2 linked regions of the Zea mays genome follow. The protein of the gene in region 1 interacts with the protein of each later gene in a pairwise test. Links are inferred from orthologs where the notes say so. Each region holds a gene or a part of one and is shown on either strand. Other genes may lie near its edges.

What was found.
Region 2: the proteins of transcription factor MYB21 (region 1) and uncharacterized protein LOC100285884 interact in a two-hybrid assay, tested with the Arabidopsis thaliana proteins (2 studies listed by BioGRID). The link is inferred for Zea mays from reciprocal best matches to the Arabidopsis thaliana genes MYB67 and AT5G57860.

What each region holds. Positions count from the first base shown.
Region 1 is NC_050102.1:156,547,471-156,557,870, reverse strand, and holds transcription factor MYB21, read right to left. Parts: upstream 5,626-10,400; 5' UTR 5,501-5,625; coding exon 5,371-5,500; intron 5,270-5,370; coding exon 5,140-5,269; intron 5,014-5,139; coding exon 4,116-5,013; 3' UTR 3,912-4,115; downstream 1-3,911.
Region 2 is NC_050102.1:179,106,877-179,118,023, forward strand, and holds uncharacterized protein LOC100285884, read left to right. Parts: upstream 1-5,123; 5' UTR 5,124-5,304; intron 5,305-6,244; 5' UTR 6,245-6,254; coding exon 6,255-6,437; intron 6,438-7,054; coding exon 7,055-7,094; intron 7,095-7,640; coding exon 7,641-7,702; 3' UTR 7,703-8,032; downstream 8,033-11,147. Other genes in the region: DNA repair protein RAD51 homolog 4, read right to left, coding at 650-799, 2,576-2,646, 2,991-3,081, 3,153-3,280, 3,423-3,558, 3,938-4,019, 4,186-4,307, 4,779-4,859; P-loop containing nucleoside triphosphate hydrolase superfamily protein, read left to right, coding at 10,156-10,158, 10,255-10,493, 10,604-10,862.

The DNA of each region.
Region 1 (10,400 bases):
ACTAGTGAATCATCATTTCTTCTAAAGACGGTAACATCAACATCAGTAAAAAAATAGTTGTAACCCATTTTGCATAATTGAGACACAGAGAGCAAGTTGTAACCTACAGATTCTACAAGAAATACATTAGAGATGCAATGGTCAGGAGATATAGCAATTTTACCCAATCCTTTGACCAAACCTTGATTTTTATCCATGAATGTGATTGCTCTTTGGGGATCATCACTTTTCTCATATGAGGAGAACATTCTTTTCTCCCCTGTCATGTGGTTTGTGCACCCGCTATCGATTATCCAACTTGTTCCACCGGATGCATAAACCTACAACACAAATTTAGGCATTGTCCTTAGGTACCCAAACAGTCTTGGGTCCTTTCACATTAGAAACAAGCTCCTTGGATACCCAAACACAAGTCTTTGGACTCTTGTGTTTGCCCTCAATATATTTGGCAACTACTTTGCTGGATTTGTTAGTAAGAACAAAGGATGCATCAAAGGTCTTAAATGAAATGCTATGTTCATTTGATGCATCAACAATCTTTTCTTAGGCATCTTAATATGAGTTGTATGCCTAGAACTAGAAGTCTCATTACTGTAAATATAAGCATGATGAGCAAAATGATGGGATTTCTTAGCATGAATTCTTTTAATCTTATGCTCAGGATAGTTTTCAGGATATAAAATGTAACCTTATCTATCTTTTACCATGGGATCCTTGCCCTTAACAAAATTGGAAATCTTGTTTCTATGGGCATTAAGTTTGATGTTGTTTTGGCTCCCGGATTGGAAGCCAACCCCATGTAATACCCAAATTTTGGGGTTTAAAAATTTATAAAGTCTTGGAAATATTAAAGACCATGGGATTACTTGGTTCCTTTTTCTCTTTTTTGCATATCCAAATAATGAGATCAAGCTAGGCCATGAATAATTATTCCATGCTGAATTCTTTACTGTTGCACTTGACTTTGTGAAATTGGGAATTGAAATGAAGCCATAGAAATAAAACAAAGAAATAAAGGCAAGAAAAAGAAAAGGAAAAGAAAATACAAATTGGACCAAATCCTTGAAATTGACCCATCTCTTTCTTCCCTCTTGCACGCGCCAGCGACCCATTTGGCCCATTACTCGTGCGCACCTTGACTCCGCAAGCCAGCGGCTGCCGGTGGGTCCGCAGTGTCAGCCGACCGCCCGCGTGCACTTCGGCCTCACATCGCTGACGCCTGGGCCCCCGTGCCAGTGGGGCTTGTTCGCGCGCACGATTACCTTTTCGCTGACAGGTGGGCCGTGCGCGCAGGCTCGTCTCCTTCACGTGCGCTGACGCCGGGGTTGTTGCAACAACTCCCCGCAATGTATGCCGGTCTCGAGGGGAGAATTTGTGCTAGCCGTGCAACCCCTATAAGAACAGGGGTGTTCGGGTGCCCGCTTGACTCGTCCGGCTCGATTTAGCCTCTGTCCACCGAGAGAACCAAGAGAGAAGAGGGTTCGGGGCCATCGCTGTAAATCGTCGCCGACGTTGAGTCTCGATCTCCTGTCGTGCTTCTCGGTTGCTGGCCATGCCGTCTGAGTGTCGCGACGGGATATTAATCAACGGGTGGTGCGACCGAGCACTTAGATCCCCTCGCCGGTGACCATCATCACCATCGCGGCGCCGTGGGTTGGGAAATCCCTCGAATCGGGTGTCAAAATCGTTTGTAAGTGTCACCACTGTCTCCTCACGTTCTCCCGCAAGTATTGGTACCTTAATCTGTGGTTTCCGGGCTTCGGGTAAGTTGGGGCACCGCTTGCTGTTGTGGGCATGGCGGGGTTGCCGCCCCGCGCTGTGGGACAACATCAACAAAGGGTTATTCTCGACGATTAGCACCTCCATGAGTCTCGACGATTAGCACCTCCATGATCTGAGGGGTCGGCAAACCACAGGCGGCAATGGCGCCGCCGCGTGTTTGGTGTTCGCGGTCGTCGCCGGCGTCATCGCAGCTAGGGGCGTCGTAGACCATTGATCACGAGTTGGGCGGCTCATATCTGATTGAGAGCACCGTTTCGGACAGGGTAGCGTGGGCGGTCCGATTTGATCGGAGGACTAGTGTTGCACGTCATCGTTAAACCTCGACCGCAGATCTCAGATCATGCGCACCAGCCACAGTGCTTGGACTCTTTGACATGCATGGATGCTCAACATGCAAGTATTTTATAAAAGGAGGGATTACACACATTTATACCACTCGGTAGTCGGTACATTCAACATACAAGTTTGTTTGCCTAAACTATTGATCTAGTCTGGCACTCTGGATCAAGTAGCTAGTTATCCTCCATTTGCAAAATGCACTACTTGCAATAAGGGTGTGCTTGTTTTTCTACTAGATTATATACGTTGGATTATGGTAAAAGGGTAGGAGAGTAAAATATCACTTTGAGATTATAAATAAATTGAAATAAGCTAGCATTGGGTAGCTTATTTCAGCTTATTTGTGACCCAAAGTAATATTTTAACCTCCTACTCTTCCACCATAATTCAACTTATATAATCTACGAGAGAAACAAATATGACCTAAGGTCCTGTTTGGTTTGAGGGATTAAAGATTAGTATCTCCATTTTAGTCCCATTTCGTCCCTAAGTTGACAAACGGTGGGACCAGGAACTAAACTGTTTTAGTCTATAGTCCCTCAAGGGATGACTAAAAAGGACTAAACCATATTGATTCCACCTTTTGCCCCTCCTTTATTTTAGTTGCACTAATGACAAGAGAATGCTAAGTGATATTTCGGTCCCCTTATGATTCCTTTAATGCGTTCTGAATACTTTTAGTCTCTATAACCAAACATGGTAGGGACTAAACTTTAGTTTCCTAACTAAATTTTAGTCCCTGGAATAAAGTAACCAAACGTGCCCTAAGTCTACTTGCTATGCAAAACTTTATGTAGATACATACATATGTGTGTATCCCATCCATATATATTATATACTTTTTGCGCCACATTCTTCTATTGTCCAAATAAAGAGTAGGTGCATGCATGGATAAGCTTTACAAAAATCAGTATAGCGCCCCACATATACATTATGCTCTTACATTAAATATATATATCTTAATATACAAGGCTGATGAACGAACACATTCCTCTACTAGCAGTATAGCTATACAGATATGATTACTGAATTCAACAGTATTTTATGTGCCATTCGTTATTGCTTTTGGTACATCATCTTTTGTAATGCATGGGCCATGGACTAATTGGATGTAAGCAAACCTTTCAAAATTTGACTGGCATTTTTCATTTAGTTCTTAGTTCACATTCTAGTATGGAACCACTCATATTTCACTGCATTTGCATTATAGTTGCATCTTGTCCACTAATTTGCTGCAGGATCATCGTAGATGGAAGGTCAATTGTTTTTTTATATCATGAAAGGTTGCAATGATGTGCATGCAATGTTTGTTAGTGAATTCATGCTTGAAGTACTTCTCATTTTTCCTTTTAAATTGAAGTAATTTGTTTCTTTGTGCAATGCATGCATATATATGCTTTGCAAAATCACTAAAATAACATAGGGTTATACTTGGATGAGACGAAAGGTGTTGTTGCAAGCAGTATATGTAAAGTACATTTTTTGTTGGAGAAACTTGTGTGCCTCTGCATAAATTGACAAATTTCAACAACTTTCCTTGCACTAAAAGGTTGAAACGTATATGTGTGTTGTTGCTGCCAACTGGTAACTGACTTGTTCCTCTTGCATGAGTTGACTGCAGTGCAAGAAAAGACTGCAGAAAGATAAAGATTGGTGTGTGTGTTGTGCTCAGAGCTCAGAAGTGTGATTTCTGCTGCCGTTCGTTACCAGTTTGCTTGCAAAGGTAAAACTTCAGAAGAGCTAGACGACCACACGGTGAAGAAATCAACAAATAATGACTAATGAGCGTATGCAATCAATAAAATTTGAGATAACTTTATTGAAATCTGAATTAGATCGAGTTCGTCACTAAGCTCAGCATGGATTTCTTGCTTTAAAAGGACGATCTGAATCAAGAACCCAGTAAATCGAACATCAAAATTAAGAGGAAAAATAAAGACATGGATGAAGCATGGAAGACAACAAACTAATTAGGGGTAAGGACGATAGTGAGCTTAGCAGTCCCATTGCAGCTGCTCCATGGTGTTGCCGGTGCTGCCGCAAAACAACGCGCATGACTCCATCAGCTCCAGATCGAACGCCATTGCACCGGCGCCGCCATACACTGAAGAGACGTCCATCATGTCCATGCCCTTGTCAGCAACTGCACCGCCACCGTTCATCACAGTTTGTCGGCCGACGAGCACCTCCCCCTGCACCAGCCCTTGTGGTGGCAGCGGCTGCTGCGGCGGCGGCGGCGGTGGCTGAGCCACTTCCATCCCTGCACACATGCCAGAATCCACGGCTGCGGTGCTCCACATTCCCGCCGTCACGTCCATGAAGGCCGCGCCCATGCCTTGTTGGCTAAAGCCGTTGCCGTTAGGCATGCCGGCGGCGTGATCCATGGAGGAGGAGGACGAGGAGCCGTTCACGAAGTCCACAGATGTCTGGAGACCAGCATTCTGGTCCCTGAAGCTCATCAGCACGCCGCCGCCGTTTCCGGGGTGGTACGGGTATCCCGGAATCGCAGCCGCCGTGGCTGCCTGATCATGCCTCATGAGCATGCCGTCAGGGTAATTATTAGGGACGTCGTACGTTGCCGGCGCCATCGTCTCCGGCGGCGGCGTGGCCGTGACGGTGCCGTAGGCGGCGGCCTTGGTCGGGGAGCTGATGGTGAAGGGCGTCGTGGCGACGGAGACGACAGCAGCGCAGCCGTTTGAGTTGAAGTGGGCAGGATTGTTGCTGCTAGGGTTTGCCCCGTTGCCGTGGAGGAGAGTCCTGGAGGCCGGCAGGAGGTTGTGGGTCTTGGGGTCGAGGCCCTGCGCGATGAGCTTCTTCTTGATGCACGAGTTCCAGAAGTTCTTGACCTCGTTATCCGTGCGCCCGGGCAGGTGCTTGGCGATCTGCGCCCATCTGTGAGTTGGATCGGAGTTGGCATGCGCGCCGCGCACAGACCAGACGAGGCATGGCACCATGGCCCCGGTGAGTCACTAGTTAGCAGGGAGCAAGATAGACGGCAAGAAGTATGCCCGTACGTACCGGTTCCCGAGGATGCGGTGGACGTCGATGATGGTGCGCTCCTCGTGGTCGGAGAAGGTTCCGCGCTTCAGGTCCGGCCGGAGGTAGTTGATCCACCGGAGGCGGCAGCTCTTGCCGCAGCGCTGCAGCCCTGTGGCCGATTTGGCAACAGCACAGCACGCCACTGTCAGGACGTGAACAAATCCAATTTCTTCTTTGAATTACTGGCTAGGATGGGTGGCCGGAGCATACCGGCATGCTTGGGAACGGCGCTCCAGCAGCTGTGGCCGTGGGCGGTGATGTACTTGACAAGCTTCTCGTCCTCCTCCGGCGACCACAGCCCACGCTTCACCTTCTGCTTGCTGCAGCAGTGGTGCCCCATGGCTGCCCGACCGCTGCTCCCCTTGCTCTCACCCTCTCCAGCAGTTTCCTCTCCTCACCCTACCTCCTCTCCCCCAACGGTGTATGTAAAGCCTGAAGCACACGCACAAAGGCACACCCCTTTTGCTGGTGAATTGACCTTTATGCATCTCTGTGTGCGGGAGAAGGAAATACACCAAATAAAGTTGTCCGATCTCTCACAATGGTAGATTTATTGCAATTAGGCCACTAAGCAAGCAGCACACTCTTCTACTGGTTCCCTTTTAACCGATACGTCAAAACAAATTACAAAACTAGATTGGACATAAGCCATGCATATACATATAGAAATATGGCTTTGTAAACACACACATATATGGTCAAATATAATGGAGTATACTAGTCAACCAAAAACTTAGACGTGGCTAGGAATCCATGACCTCTTTATTAGAATCCGGTTCTTTGGAGTGCCAATGGTTTACCAAGTGTTTTTTCCAGACACCCGGCAAAGAGTTATTTTATCGAGTACCCCATAAAAAATGCTCGGTAAAAAAAACACTTAGCAAAGAGCTTATTTGCTGCTCTTTGCCGAGTGTTGTTTTACACTATGCAAATAGTTTCTTTACTGAGTGTTTTTTCCGATACGACTAGGCAAAAACAATTTTCGAACAACATTTTAAAGCAGTAAATCAATTCAAATAAAAAGGTTTTCAACTATAAAGTTGTATAACTCATTTAAGATGTACAATTTCTATTTGCATTGGTCGTTTCTTCATATGACAAAATAAAATTATATTTGTTCGCAAAATTTATCTCTCTTGTAGTTTCGTAAACTACAAGAGAGATGTATAAGATTTGTGAACAATGTTAGAACCACCATGTTGGATGAATAGATGACAAAATAACTAAAATAAACTTTGTAGATCTTGAGAAGTTTTGGAATTTTATAGTTGGCAACTTTTTAATTTGGAGTCATCTTGTCAACGAAAAACTACGTATGAATTCAAAAAAATTAAAATTCGAATTTTTCAAATGACCTCGAATGGAAAAAAACACCGAAATGAAAGTTGCATGTCTCGAGAAGTTATAAAATTTTGTAGTTGACAACTTTTTCGATTTTAAATCTGAAAGTCGCCTAGAGGGTGGGTGAATAGGCGAAACCTGAAATTTATAACTTTAAACACACACTACAAGCCGGGGTTAGCGTTAGGATTAAATTCAAGTCCGGAAGAGAGGGGAAAACAAATCAATCAAGAATCAAACGAGTGAACACGGTGATTTGTTTTACTGAGGTTCGGTTTCAAAGAACCTAGTCCCCGTTGAGGAGGACACAAAGACCGGGTCTATTTCAACCCTTTCCCTCTCTCAAACGGTCACTTAGACCGAGTGAGCCTTCTTCCTTAATCTCACGGGTCACTAAGACCCTGCAAGGACCACCACACACTTGGTGTCTCTTACTTCGCTTACAAAGAATTTGAGAATAAGAATGGGAAAAGAAGAAAGGCAATCCAAGAAACAAGAGCGCAAAAGAACACGAACACACACTCTCTCAAGTCACTAAATGGTTGAGATGAATTCTAGACTTGGAGAGGGTTTGATCTTTTGGAAATGTGTCTTGTAGTGAATGCATTAGCTCTTGTATTGAATGTGATCTCTGAAAAACTTGGATGCCAAAAGATGTGGTGGTTGGGCGATGGGCGCACCGGACAGTCCGGTGCGCCACCTTGTAGCCGTTGGCCAAGGCTGCTAGCGATGGGCGCACCGGATAGTCTGGTGCGCCACCGGACAGGTACTGTGCGCTGTCCGGTGCGCCGCCACGCCAACCAACTGTTAGGGTTTAGAGCTGGTCGACCGTTGGAGACTTTGTCTTCTTGCGGCACCGGACAGTCCGGTGCCACAACGGACAGTCCGGTGCCCTTTGACTTTGCTGCTTTGACTCTGTCGCGCACTGTTCATCGTGGCAGGCGCTTTTGCAGTCGACCGTTGGCGCTGGATAGCCATTGCTCCGCTGGCTCATCGGATAGTCCGGTGAATTATAGCGGAGCGCGTCCTGGAATTCCCGAGAGTGACTGGTTTGGAGTTGTACGGGCGTGGCACACCGGACACTGTCCGGTGGCACACTAGACAGTCCGGTGCGCCAATCTTCAGCACACTCAAGTCCTTTTGCTCCAATAAAATTGTGTCCCTAACTTGGTTCTTTCTTGGTTTGTGTTGAACCTTATGCACCTGTAATACATGAATTCTAGACAAACTAGTTAGTCCATGTGTTTGTGTTGATTATCAATCACCAAAATTAATTATAGGAAATGGTTAACCCAATTTCCCTTTCAATCTCCCCCTTTTTGGTGATTGATGCCAACACAAACCAAAGTAAATATAAAGTGCAGGAATATAACTAGTTTGCATTTAGAATCTGCATAGGTTGCTTGGAGTTAAACCAATTGAAAATCTCACAAAGTATGAATGGATTGTTTTTCTTTTATTTAACATTTTAGACCACATTTGCACCACTTGTTTTGTTTTTGCAAATAGTCAAAGGTATAGGAATGATATTGCAATAAGCATTTTTAAGATTTGAAATTTCTCCCCCTGTTTCAAATGCTTTTCCTTTGACTAGATAAAAACTCTCCCTGAATGAAATTCTCCTCTTAGCTTTCAAGAGGGTTTTGAGATAGATACCATAAAGCGCCTTTGAGAGTCTGTACACATGGTTAGGGTACTCACTATCTTCAAAGCCAGGAGGTTGCTCAACATATACCTCTTCCTTGATGGGTCCATTAAGGAAGGCACTTTCCACGTCCATTTGTTCAAGCTTAAAGCCATGATAAGTAGCATAGGCAAGTAATATGTGAATTGATTCAAGCCTAGCTATGGGTGCATAAGTTTCATCAAAGTCCAAACCTTCGACTTATAAATAACATTTGGCCACAAGTCGGGTTTTGTTCCTTTTCACCACAGCATGCTCATCTTGCTTGTTGCGGAATACTGAAAGTAGCCTAGAGGGGGGGTGAATAGGCTAATCTGAAAATTTTCACAACAAACTTCGAAAGATTGTTAGATTCACAGTTCGACTGGTGCAGGCCGGTTCAACAGCTACGTGCGCAAGTTGAACCACTCTGAACCAATCCAACTGTTTTATAAACTTTAGACTAAAATCTACTCGAAAAAGTATTTTGCAAGTTCTTGAGAGAAGTAAGATATAGCTAAGTGAGGATGAAAAGATGAATATGTAAAGGCTATTTTACTTCTAGATAAACTCTACGAAAAAATCTTTATGTCAATCTTGCAAGTAAAAATATCTCAAGTTAAAACAAGCAAGAACACAAGACACAAGATTTAATCCGAGGTTCGGCCACACCACAAAGGTGTCCTACTCCCCGTTGAGGAGCCCACAAAGGGCCGGGTCTTTTTCAACCCTAATCCTCCAAAAGCCGACCACAAAGGTCAAGGCAATCTCTTCTTATCTTAGCTCAAAGAGCGGGTGATACAAACTTCTTGGGGTCGTCCACAAATTTGGAGACTCCCAAGCAACCTCAAAAGATCTTGAAACCTAGGGTTTCAAGAACACCAAGAACGCACAAGAGGGGTTTGCACAAGCTCAAGTCTTTGTAAAAGAGATGGGAGAGGAAAACCAAATCGTGAGCACAAGCACAAACCTCACACCCAAGAGCTCCTCCAACAAGGTTGAATCTTGAGGGAGATTTAAGTGTGAGTGAGATGGAGAGATGAGTGCTTTGTCTCAAGTTAGGTGAGCAATAAATGAGTGAGTGTTCAGCCGTATTGAAGAAGAGAGAGAGAGGGGTCTATTTATAGTCACGGCTCAAAAACTAGTCGTTTGACCAAAAACCCCGCTGAAAACCGGTTGAACCGCCCCCTGACAAATCAGCAGTCTGTCTGCCAGTCTGACTGCCAGACTGACTGGCAGACTGACCTGCAGGCGGGTCAGACAGGCCAGGACCGGTTGAACCGCCCCCTAGGGCGGTTGAACCGCCCCCGAACACCCCTGGCGACCTGATTGCCAGTCTGACTGGCAGACTGCAGATCAGAAGTCAGAGGGTCAGAGACCAATTGAGCTACCCCCCAGGACCAGTTCAGCTGGTCTAGACCAGAGAGTTTTGGAGAGAAAACCACAGCTCAGCTGCCCAGGGGCAAGTTCAGCTAGGTATGGTCAAAGAGGTCCACAGCTGAAGTTGAAATTCAGCTGGAGTTGAAAGTTCAACTCAGCTAAAGTCCAGCTCAGCTGAAAAGCTCAGCTGCAGCTGAAGAAGCTCATCACAGCTGAAGTTAAGTTCAGCTGGAAAGCTCAGCTGCAGTTGAAGAAGTTCAGCTGCTTTTCAGCAAGAACACTCTAGGTTTCTCAACCCAAACCATGGTCAACCAAATAATGTTAAATTGATTTTTGGTTTTCAAAAAATAGCTTTTGAATTAGAGGACTTGAGCTATAGCAAACACCTATACCTGTGCGGAAAAGAACAAGGAAAAATTACATCATGCAACACAAGATTTTACATAAATTTTTATACGTCCGTTGCATGAAGTCCTTGGTGCTTCCTTAAGTTCTTGTTTCCTTCTAATCAAACACTTAGAACAAAAACTGTTAGTACCCTTATTTGTTTTGTCATTAAATCACCAAAACCCTCACTTGGGGTTGATTGCACTTACAAATACCCACTTGGTACCTACAACATTTTGATTAGGACGTGGAACTAAATGCCATACATCATTCCTTGTGAAGCTGTTGATCTCCTCTTGCATAGCCACCACCCAATCCGGATCTCTTAGTGCATCCTCTATCCTGTATGGCTCAATAGAGGACACAAAAGAGTAATGTTCACAGAAATGAGCAACTCGAGATCTAGTGGTTACCCCCTTATGAATGTCACCAAGGATGGAGTTGACGGGGTGATCTCGTTGAATTGCTT
Region 2 (11,147 bases), about 23 Mb from region 1:
AACCCCACACAAGAGTTCAATACCATCTTTGTCAGTAAAAGACCCAGGATGCATGGGGATTTGAGAGGTTTGATGGCCATATAATCCATTGATAATCAGTTTTAACTAGCAAGAGATTATATGTCCCTCAATTCACTCTAATCTCTATGTATCCAAACAAGCCCTAAGGAGCCAAGGTTGCTCAAAAAAGAACAAATACAAAACAATAGAGGCAATCATTCAGGTATAGAAAATGATGATTCCAAAAATCACATAAGGACATTTTATCTGCTTATTAACAAAAAGGTACTAGTGGTTTCTCCGCGGAAGTTCTGCAGGGACAAGAAGCATGTCTGATGCGGCAATGAAGGGTTGATTTGGTGACAAGAGGATCACAGGAGGATTGGAGAGGATTGAGCGAGAAATAAACTAATTTCCCCCTCAATCACCTCCAATCCTCCCATGATCCTGGGTCACCAAATCAGCCTAACCAAATAGCCAGGAAAATACTCATGGTGTGTGTTTTAGCACCCTGACAATTTATCTGTTTATCAACAAAACGGTACTGTTGATTTATTAGTTATTACCCATGCAAGTTCTACTTCGACAACAAGCATTACTGCTGCTGCAATGAAAGATAGAAGTATAATTGAATCGCCAGAGGAAATACCAGTAGTGTGTGCTTCAGCACAGTTCCCGTGCAGATATTACTACTATGTTCACGAGATATCATCAGGCGGACATGTGGAACAGATTTCCAGCTCTCACCAAGAGCAGGCTTGACAGCACCATTGCCAGCTGAAACCATATGATTGGTCACCTGGATTCAATGCAAAAGAGTAACTCAATGAATGAACTTAAGAAAAAAAAACTTTTGTTTACAGAATTGGCAGTGTTCACCAAAATACGTTTGCTGTCTGATTCAAATCGATTCGTAAAACCAATTGTTTAAGCGAAATAGTTTATGAATGAATACAGGAAGCCAAGCGGTAACATAAACTTCCATTTCAAATGCTAAACCAGAGGTGGTATTCGGTATTCATTGAGTCACCAATCATCCAGTGATGGTATATCCTAAATTGATATATATGGAAGGTAATCGTTCTTGGCATATGATGTTCACCATTTTTTAGGTCATTGGTTTTCTTTTACACCATGGTTTTCAGGTCATTGGTACATTTTATTACAAGAAAATCGTGAAGACTGAAGAACAAAATCTATGTATTGGTCCATCCTTGGAACCTTCCTCACTCAAATACTTGGAGCTAACTGGTAGCTAGTTCAGACTTCAGATCAGGGAAAATGGAGTAGGGAAACAAGAAACTGCAACATATTTTTTTGTGGCCTGATTCCCACGAAGTACATTAGCAATGGACACCCATGACAAAACCATCAAATATGGAATTTGGCAAAATCTTGTTGCTGCTCCTCCAAAGCAGCCTATATCGCTTTCTTTGTGGCCACAATATAGGTTTGCTCCATGGGAGTGTACTTAGAAACCTTGGGTTTCTTTGCACCGCAAATTCTTGGCCATTCACAATCACAGTTGGACAACAGATAGGTTTGCCAAATGTAAACTACCGCACCCCAACTGCTGTGCATTATGCGATCAAAGGGATGAGACTATGCAGCACTTGCTGATTTTATGTGTCTTCTCTAGGCAAGCATGGATTGTCGTTCTCCACTGGCTGGGGTCTGCAACAGGAGCTGAACTCTACACCTTTCTGCTCATGGTGGAGCCAAGATCTTAAACAAGTTGACAAGTAATTAAGGGGCTCAATTATTTGTTTATTCTAGTTGCTTCACAAATTTGGAAACATCATAATGACTGTTTTTAATGGGACGAATGTGTGGCTGGTAACTAGAACCATTTTAGAGAAAGGAGCCTTGTGGTGTTATGCAGGTGCAGATTACAGAAATTAACTACAGACAGCTGTTTTGTGGTTGTCACTTTTATGTTTAAACAGCCCGTATGTAATCTCATTTGTTCGTGTGATTTTCTCTGAACTTTGATGTTTTATTCTTTAATGGAAAAGTAAGCAGCTTTCTGCATGCTTGGCCATGTTGAACTGTTTAAGGAGTGGAAGGTAGTATACAAATTCAAGACCAAGCACCTGAAAGCGCAATTTATTTGCATGTACTTTTCTTCAGATCAAACATCATGCAAATTCAAGACCAAACACCATATAAATTCAGCCTATTGAATAAGGTCAAACAATATTCAGCGTGCAATTTCAGGTGTTATATTATTCAGCATCATTTTCAAGATAATCACCACGATATCAGTTCCTATTTTCTCCATGCATGCAAACAAGAGTATTACTGAGTCAAGATTGCATAGTTGCATGACAAATTTGACAAATAAACTGAATACATATATTGTATACCCATGACAAATCAAAATGATAGATTTTTTTTAAAAAAGGTATATTCATATTAACAAGCAGTTTCAACTTTCAACCCAAAGAGTTGAATTTGAATCTAAGTGGTGCTACACCAAGTGAACTAGTCTCAATTGCTCCAAACATGCTCATTTCAGAGCATGCAATTAGCATTCCATGAATGCTTACCAAAAACTGGGGTTCAAAAAAATTACCAGAACAGCTAGATTATGCTCATAGGCTAACTTCTTTAGGATCATCGCCAGTGATATCATCATCGATCGCCCTGTCAGTTTATTAATACAGGTTCAGAGAAAAGAGCCAAAAGCTGTGAATTAAGGATGCCTTCCTCTTAGGAAGCAATAACAGGGAATTCAATTTATGACCAGCTAAAATTATAAATTAGCAGTTGCACCGTAGATATTATTATTAAGTTTATACTAAATTCATAAGCTATCTTGCATAAGCACCGATCCGATTCAGTTCCAAACTCACAGAATCATATCTAATTTATCTCAACCTCTCAATATCACTACATAAAGTCTGATTTACTGTATGCATGCAGTGCTAATGTACAACTTATGTCATGCCAAAAGGGGAGGATTGTAGATAAGGCTATGAAGGCGGTACCTTGTGGATACTTGCCTCCAATAATGGGAGCAAGTAAGGATGATATTGAGTCAATTATAAGTAAGCAAATTCTCCTGCCATCACCTATTACCTGTTACACGTGCCAGGTGAGAGAAGTATTTGACAAGAAATCTGAAACCATATGCAATACTTCACTCATACCTTTTCATTCAGTAGAGAAACTTCAAGTTGATGTAGTACTTCAAACATACCAAATATATCAAACACAGACTCGCAGATGATGCTTTGCATCACAGTCTTGAGCCTCTCCTTAGACAGCAAGTCAAAACCTGATTACTGTAGATCTTAAGCTATATATAAAACATATGGTAAAACTTTTGCCAAGAAACTGCTGGAGAATTGAAATAAATTATGAGAACTCAAAGAATGACAAAAGGCAAGAGTAGGCTAGACATATGGTTGATTGTCTACCTTTTTGATCAGATAGGTCGTTAGTTCCATCAATTATGGTGGCAATACGACTAGGAGAGAAAGAATTACTAGTATCCAAGTACATAACCACACCCGTATGCTTCACTGGAGCATGTGAAGCAGAATGTAGACAAACCTGAAAAATGGTATATATGTAAGAGCATGACTATGATTTAGCCCATAATAGTTCCAACAAAATCATTCCAAGCAGTAACCATGGGCAACGACTGCTATGCAAACAGTGCTTCTGTGCAAACGTGCAAGCAAACCATCTGATCCATTAGATTACGATCCAACCACAGATACAACCACTGGTTTGTTAGGGGTTTTTTTATAAAGATTATTGAGCTGGTGGTGGAAGGGTTTAAGTGTTAAATGTGACTTACGGTTGGATCACGATCTAATGGATCAGATGGTTTGCTTGCACGCTTGCACAGAAGCACTGCTTGCATAGCAGTCGTTGCCGTAACCATGAGCATTTTAAGTGTGTATAAAAAGATAACTCATCTTCTCACCTGTGTTTTACCAGAAGATGATGGTCCAGTAACCTCTGTGAGCTGACCTTGGCGCAGCCCGCCCCCAAGAAGTCTGTCAATGCTGTCAATTGAAAGACCACATGCTTCAAAAAAATGAAAGGTCACAAATGATACTAGGATCATATTAATCACAAAAAGTAATATAAACGAGGGTGTTAACATAGCAAATATGAGATGAAGACTGAACAGAGAAGGCATGAGTATGTATATGTTCAAGGTAGAAGTACCCTTCAAGTCCAGTAGGTAGGACATGCTTGTTTTCAGTGACGTCCTTGAGCAAGTCGATCCCACTCCAAATTCGCCCACACCGATCTTCCTTAGAAGGCTGATCTTGATTCATCGTCTCCTCCTGTGTGTATTATATCATGGATGGAAAACAGTCCGTGATTCAGTAGTACAAAATTTCTTCGCTACCCCAATGTGTCGTCAACTCAGCTCTATTGGTTGACAATTGCCGCATTATGTTGTTACTTGCAACCCCTCAATTCAATTTGCGACGGATTTCCAGTTAGTGGACCAGTTACTTGTGGGTTTTTGATATTGCGGAGAAGGTCATTTGTACTTCTAAGGGCTGGTTTGGTGACAAGGGAATTGGAGAGGATTGAGGGGGAGAAAATCCCTTGATATTCAATTTTTACTTCTAAATGTTATGATGGACTCCTCTCCCCACTAGCAAGTCGAACGCAACGTCATGCGCAGTGTGTAGCATCAGTCAGACTAACATTTCTAGTACAACAAACATTCATGCGTGATGCGTTGATAGCAGGCGAGCAAATACTAGAAGCAGCAGTGTCACAAGAAGAAAAGGAAGAATGCGAACCTCCTGGTCGTGTGGTGCGTAGCGGCGCTTGAGACCACAGCCGGATGTGGTGGCTTCCCTTCCGCCACCGGCCGCCGCCATGACGGCGCCGAGTAACTGTCTTCCACGGACACTACCGTTGGAGACCTCCACCAGCACGCGGTGCCCCTGGAAGGTAACCACTAGGGCAAGATAGGACGCCTGCCCCTACGGAACCCCGGGACCGAGCGGGAACGGCGGCGGCCGCGTCGGGCGAAGGAAAACGAAGAAGCCGAGACTGAGTACTGGGCCGGCCCACTTTGATTATTTGTAGCGAAGGTAAGCACAAGGAATTCCTAAGCACAATGACAGGCCCAATAGCCCAATGCGCTGAATAGCGCAGCATCCTTTCCCTTCTCCCCCACCCTCGGCCTCGCTTCCAGCCATCCGCCGCGGCTCGTCTCCGTCTCCCGGCTCCTCGGCGTCTAGCTCGTCAACGCGCGCGTCCGCCGTCGGCTCCTCCGACCGGCGTCCCACCACAGGGGAATACAGATCGACGATCCGCTGGGTGCGTCTCATTTCCCGGCTCGCAGATCTGACCAACTGTTGTGTGTTCCGTTCGTTGGTGTACGAGAGTAGCTGGGGTCTCCGCGGGCAGTTCTTGCGCATAGGTCTTCCCCGTTACGGAGTATTGTGTAGTCACTTTGCTTCAAGAACCATTGGGGATCGAGTATAATTTGATGATTTTAGGGCAGTTCACGGTGCCTGTTATGTTTGTTCTATTGTGTTTTCACTATGGTTATTTATTTGTACCTTTTTCTAGCGTACTGGGTGTTTGTATGCATGATTGATCCGCTCATTTAGGGGGTGTTTGGTTTAAGGAATCACTACATCCAAATTGAGGTGGTGCATCATGGGTTTATTCCTCAAATTTGGTGGGATGACCCTATTCTTCATATTAGTACTAACTAATTAACTATGAGGAATGAGGTGGTGATGGATCAACTCATTCCATTCCACAAACCAAACAAAAATAGTGAGGAGTGAGAAGATGATGGACTAGCTCATTTCTTAAACCAAACACCTACCTAGCCCTTTTACATAATCCATGTCCAATGCAACCATTGGCTTTCATTGCCCTCAGCAATTTTTAGGGTATTAGTTACTAAGGTGTGGTTTGGTTCACGAAATGTAACATAAATGGTAATTGTAATGATTCACGTTCGATTACCGGCTGTAACAAGTTTGAATAAGACGGTATTAGTTTCTAGTGTTATTACGGACTTAAACAAACATGGTTTTTTAATGTTATCTATTACCGTTCACGTTACAAATAAATAGGTGAATCAAACAGCACCTAAGATATAGTACGCTTATCACTATAGTGCTACTACTTTCCAGCTCCTGGAGTAGCGAATATTGTTTCAGGGAAGCAGAGATATTTCCTATTGTTGCTGGTTCCGTCTTATCTGTGTACTGATGACTTTTAGGCATCCCGTGCGGTGCAGGCTTGCAAACATGTATATCCGAGTGAAGCGCAACAAGAGTACCTACTTCATTCAATGTGAACCAACAGAGACAGCTTTGAGCATCAAACAGAAGTTGCACTCGCTGATAGATCAACCTCCTAGTAGTCAGCAGTTGGTCTTGTGGCCTAGCAGTGATGTGCTTGAAGACTCAAAGACTTTGGCAGATCAAAAGGTACCCCTACATCTAGCTGCTTCTGCTTCTTTACATATTATTCCTAAGATGATTCTGTTTAGGCCCCGTTTGTTTCGTTGGAATTGAATTCGATTCTAATAATCATAATTTAGACACGAACTAATTAAGTTAATATATTTGTATATGTAATATATTTGTATATTATCCTAAATCATATGAGATAGTTATACACTACACTTATGCTATAGAGAAGTAAGTAGAAGAGTGTGCTATAAGTTGTACATTGGAAAAGTAGCATGCAAATCTATAAAATCAATTTTCATCTTTCACTCCATGAATTTAAGACAGGCTTATGTATCAACTTTAGAAAGTTGTGGAATATCACATTCTAAAAAGTAGTCTATTCCATTAGTTAGATTCTAATTCCTCAAAATGAAGGGAAACAAACGGGGTCTTAGCCTAATGTGCAGTCTCATTATTCTCATAGAACATCTATAAGTGAAGTCTGCTTGCTAATGCAGATATTTATTTTTTCAGTCACATTAAGTTTAGTTTGTGTAGCCTTAGCATATCGGTTTTCTTTGAAGATTAAACCCACAGCTTGTTTATTGCATTTTACCAGTTGCGTGATATTTTCTTTTTTTATACTTGTTCAGGTGGATAACGATTCCATTGTTGCATTGGCACTAAGAAAAGGTATCGTGCTCACTTGCTGAATTGTTAATGGGTTTTTGCCTACTTTTTATTTTCCTTATCTTTCAGGTAGTGCCTTTTGCATTATTAATGTTTCTTTTCTTTTTTGCTTACTCTTAGTATACCACTCGATGGTTATGATTATTGCCCAGCAACTGTTTACATTTGTAGAAAATACCTTATATTATGTCTTAGGTCATCATTCACTAGTCAGCAGCTTGATCTGTCTTCTGGACTGCGGGTTTGACCTACCAAACCATATTATTGCTGATGCCATTCTTTCTCTAGCAGAAATTTACACATTTTCCCTCATTTCTATGTTAATAATAAGCTAAGAAGAATCTATGATTGCAAAGTGGTTTATCATAGCATAACAGCAGGTTGTCCCTATTCTAAATAAAGTGAATGCATGATGCTAGTCCTTTTCTAAAAACTCAACCTACTCAATGCAGCTTCTTGCTTTCCTTGTTCCGCCGTGGGTTACCCTTTCTATAGCTATTTCATTTTCGGTCTGATAGTTCCTGACTGTAATTTCTGTTCCTTCACCAGATGACGGTGAGTTTGAGGAAGTTTTCATCGCTAGGCCGGAGGATTTCATGTCATCATCATGATAAAGATTAGTCCATCATTTCTACAAAGGGACCACTGCGCGTTCTTGGAGTGGACCGTCGCTCTATGCTGGTTCTTCTAGAATCTGGGATGTGGCTTGCTTGTCCCTTTGGGAGGAAAAAGAAAATCTTTTATGTGAGATCCCAAACAACCGTTGTGGATGATATTAAGCTTTGATTTGACGCTCCAACTGATGCCGTGCTTCTTGTACCTACTGGTGTCTGTCTTGGTGTTGGGATCAGAGCGCACCTAATTGTCCTTTTTTGTACCAGCTGTTGTATGCGAATCCATCTGTGCCTTCATCACCTAATGCACTCGCTGTTGCTGCTGGCATTCCTGGTTGGCCCCATTGCTCGATTCAACTGCGCTGTCGGTCACATAATGGGCAACGCGTTTGGTTGGCGCCACAAGATTACGACGACAGTTTTGGGCTTGTGGTTTCTCTTTCTCAGGGCAAAATTTTAGTGAATGTTTGGACAGATTTCGTCTGCTCTTACATTAATGGTTCTTTTTTTTTTTTTTTGCCTTTGTAAGTCAGTTTCATAATTTGGCAGAATTGTTGCCTACTTTGGTCCACCCTTTCCGTTCTACAAGTTTTTTAATTTGCCGTTTGATTGCAAAAGTTCTTGCGAAAGTGACAGAGGCGACTTCTCAGGAGCTTCAGCTTTTGATTTGGTAGTAGCAACTTTTTGAACAACTCAACGCTGAGGGTTTGTTTTTTGCTTGCATATTAAGTTTTGAACGCAGACGACGCGTACGGAACGTCCTACTCAAACTGAAGTCAGCGTTGCTGTCCGTGTGTGTTCCCCATGAACAGTCAAATAAACATTGTGATCCACAATATTTTTCCATGATTTATCACTCTAATTCAATTTCATGGCCTCGACATCCAAACGAGCATAACAATTCAACTACATGCACACCCCTGCATACGCCACGCGCCCACGCCCATTCAACAAAAGAGGACCAAATTGTTAAGCTTCTCTTTAGGACACGGGATGTTTTTTTCACCGTTTTGAATATTTTTTTCTAAAAAAAATAAACTGGGTTCCTACAAATTTTTTACATGGCTTTTGTAAATTTTATTTTGTGTTCTTAAAGGGGTCTGGATGGTTTCGAACAAAGAAACAAAACGGTCAAATCGGAATTAACTAAGGCGCCCTTTTAACGAACAAAGAAGCGGAAGATAAATAAATAAGTCAAGTACGAGCGGAGTAACCACAGAAATTACCCGTCTATATAACTCCAGAACAACAAGAATTAAGCATAGGCAATTTGATCCGAGTACGCGTCCTGGTCGACGCCAAAGTCAAACGGAAGAAATTGGTAGCCTCTTCTGGTTTTTTATTTTTTTATTTTTTTTGCAAATGGTCCACGAAGACCAGGTTCAGCAAACGCACTCGTTCATCTCTCCATTCCATGCCATGCCATGGCCCCTCCTCGCTTTCGTTCGCTTTGCGCTTTTTGAGTTTAAAAGAAAAGAAGAAAGCGGCCTTGCCCACGTTTCAAACCATCTTGAAGAAGGAGATCGAGAGGCATTCCTACGGCACCGTCTTTTTTTCCCGATTCTCCTGTTCTTGTTTGTGACTTGTGAGTGAGAGCGGGATCCGACATCCGAGGAGAGGTCGAGGCCGGGCAAAGTCGAAGTCCGCGCTCCGGCCTCCAGCTGACGAAGCAGGTAACGACCATTCTTCCCCGCCTCCGCCGCGACGCGTGTTAGGTTGCTCACGTGATCTCGCTGTTGGGACTTGGGAGTTAGAGCTGTCTCTTCTTGCTTGAGGCTCCTCTCATCTGCGGGGACCTTCGTGATTCTTCGCACCCGAACCTTGGCTTTGCTCTTGCTCCTCTGGTTGCTGGGGTTTCTGGGGACCGGCTTGCTTCTAGAGCTGAATCTCACTCACCTCGAGTATAAAACCAGCCGCCTTCGGATCTTCTCTCCCTTCTTCTCGCGGGGGGTTCTTCGCCATTTCGGAGTTGCAAATTGCAATCCCACCAGGGATTTCTGTCGGCTGCTTAGGTTTCTCCGCGTCGCGAGCTTTGATGAGAGGTTATTCCCGCATTTAGTGGAGCTGGTTCTCATCTGCTCCTCGCCTCCCTCATTACTGTCTCTACTGAATCCTATTTCAGGGTCTCGTTTGCTTTTTTTCTTCTCTCGCAACCTTTTGGGACTATTTGTTGCTGGTATACTCTGTTCAGCATCATTACTTGAACCAGATTTGCAATTAGCGCTGCATTGGCAACTACGCTGGCCCATGGTGAGCTTCTTTTATCAGCAGCTGACGCAGTGACGCCTGACTGGCGGTAAAATCTGTATCTGGTTTACCAGGATGCACTGTGACGCGCTGGCCCATGGTGAGCTTCTGATGCCAATTAGGACTAAACATGCTTCCTCGCTGCGCTCAAGTGGGAGAACAAGAAATCAGCCTAGACACTAGTCATCTGCTGCAAGCAGAAAATGGTATAGCACAGTGCTCCTGGACTACATTTCACCTGTGCCCAATACTTGCTGGTAGCAGCAATGCCTGATCATTAGAAATTGTGTTTGCGCCTGCAGCACCCTTATTCACTTAAGAGTTCCAAGGGAGCACCAATTCTGCCACGGCCAGTCTTCGTTTTCTTCATCGCGACATTTGGTTTCTATGTATGCTATCTCTCCTTCAATCAGATAACGCTAGAGAACAACAGAGAGGGGAATAGTCGAGAAGAACAAAGGGACGATATTTGCAGAAAGCCTTATGTGCCGTATGAGGAGCTCAGTTATGTGCACTTTCCAAAACCTACAAGTTATAGCAGGTAAGATCCACCACTTGACTGTGAGGAGATATAAAATCTTTGCATTCCTCAATTATGTAGTACAGTATATTTTGTGGCTGATGTTGATATTTTTTGTCTTTCTGCTGCAGGGGGGAGTGCTCGTGTACTCCTGTTCGGTTCTTTGTAATCGTGTCTATGCAAAGATCGGGAAGTGGATGGTTTGAGACCTTGATGAATAGTCACCCTAACATTAGTTCCAATGGCGAAATCTTTAACAGAATGGATAGAAGAGAAAATATATCGTCTATCTTACAAACGCTTGATACGCTGTATAATTTGGACTGGCTCACCAGCGCCGCTAAGAATGAGTGCACAGCTGCATTTGGACTGAAGTGGATGCTTAATCAGGTACTTTAACTATTGCTTTCTAAATGGAAAAAAGAAACAGCATAACATGAGGAGTCTGTGCCAGTGGTTACTAGCCTATAAACTACAGTTCTAGTGGGTGGAACCTGGGCAAACCTATATATGATTTATTTTCCTTACCAAAAGTTTGGTTTTTTTAAAGAATTGTAGCTATAATCCAACTCTGTCATACTGCATATATGGATGTTTTTCTCAAAGCTATGACCTATGTGCCAACTACTAACATGCCTACGGTTGCAGTTCTTAAAACTCTGTACTAAGCAAAAT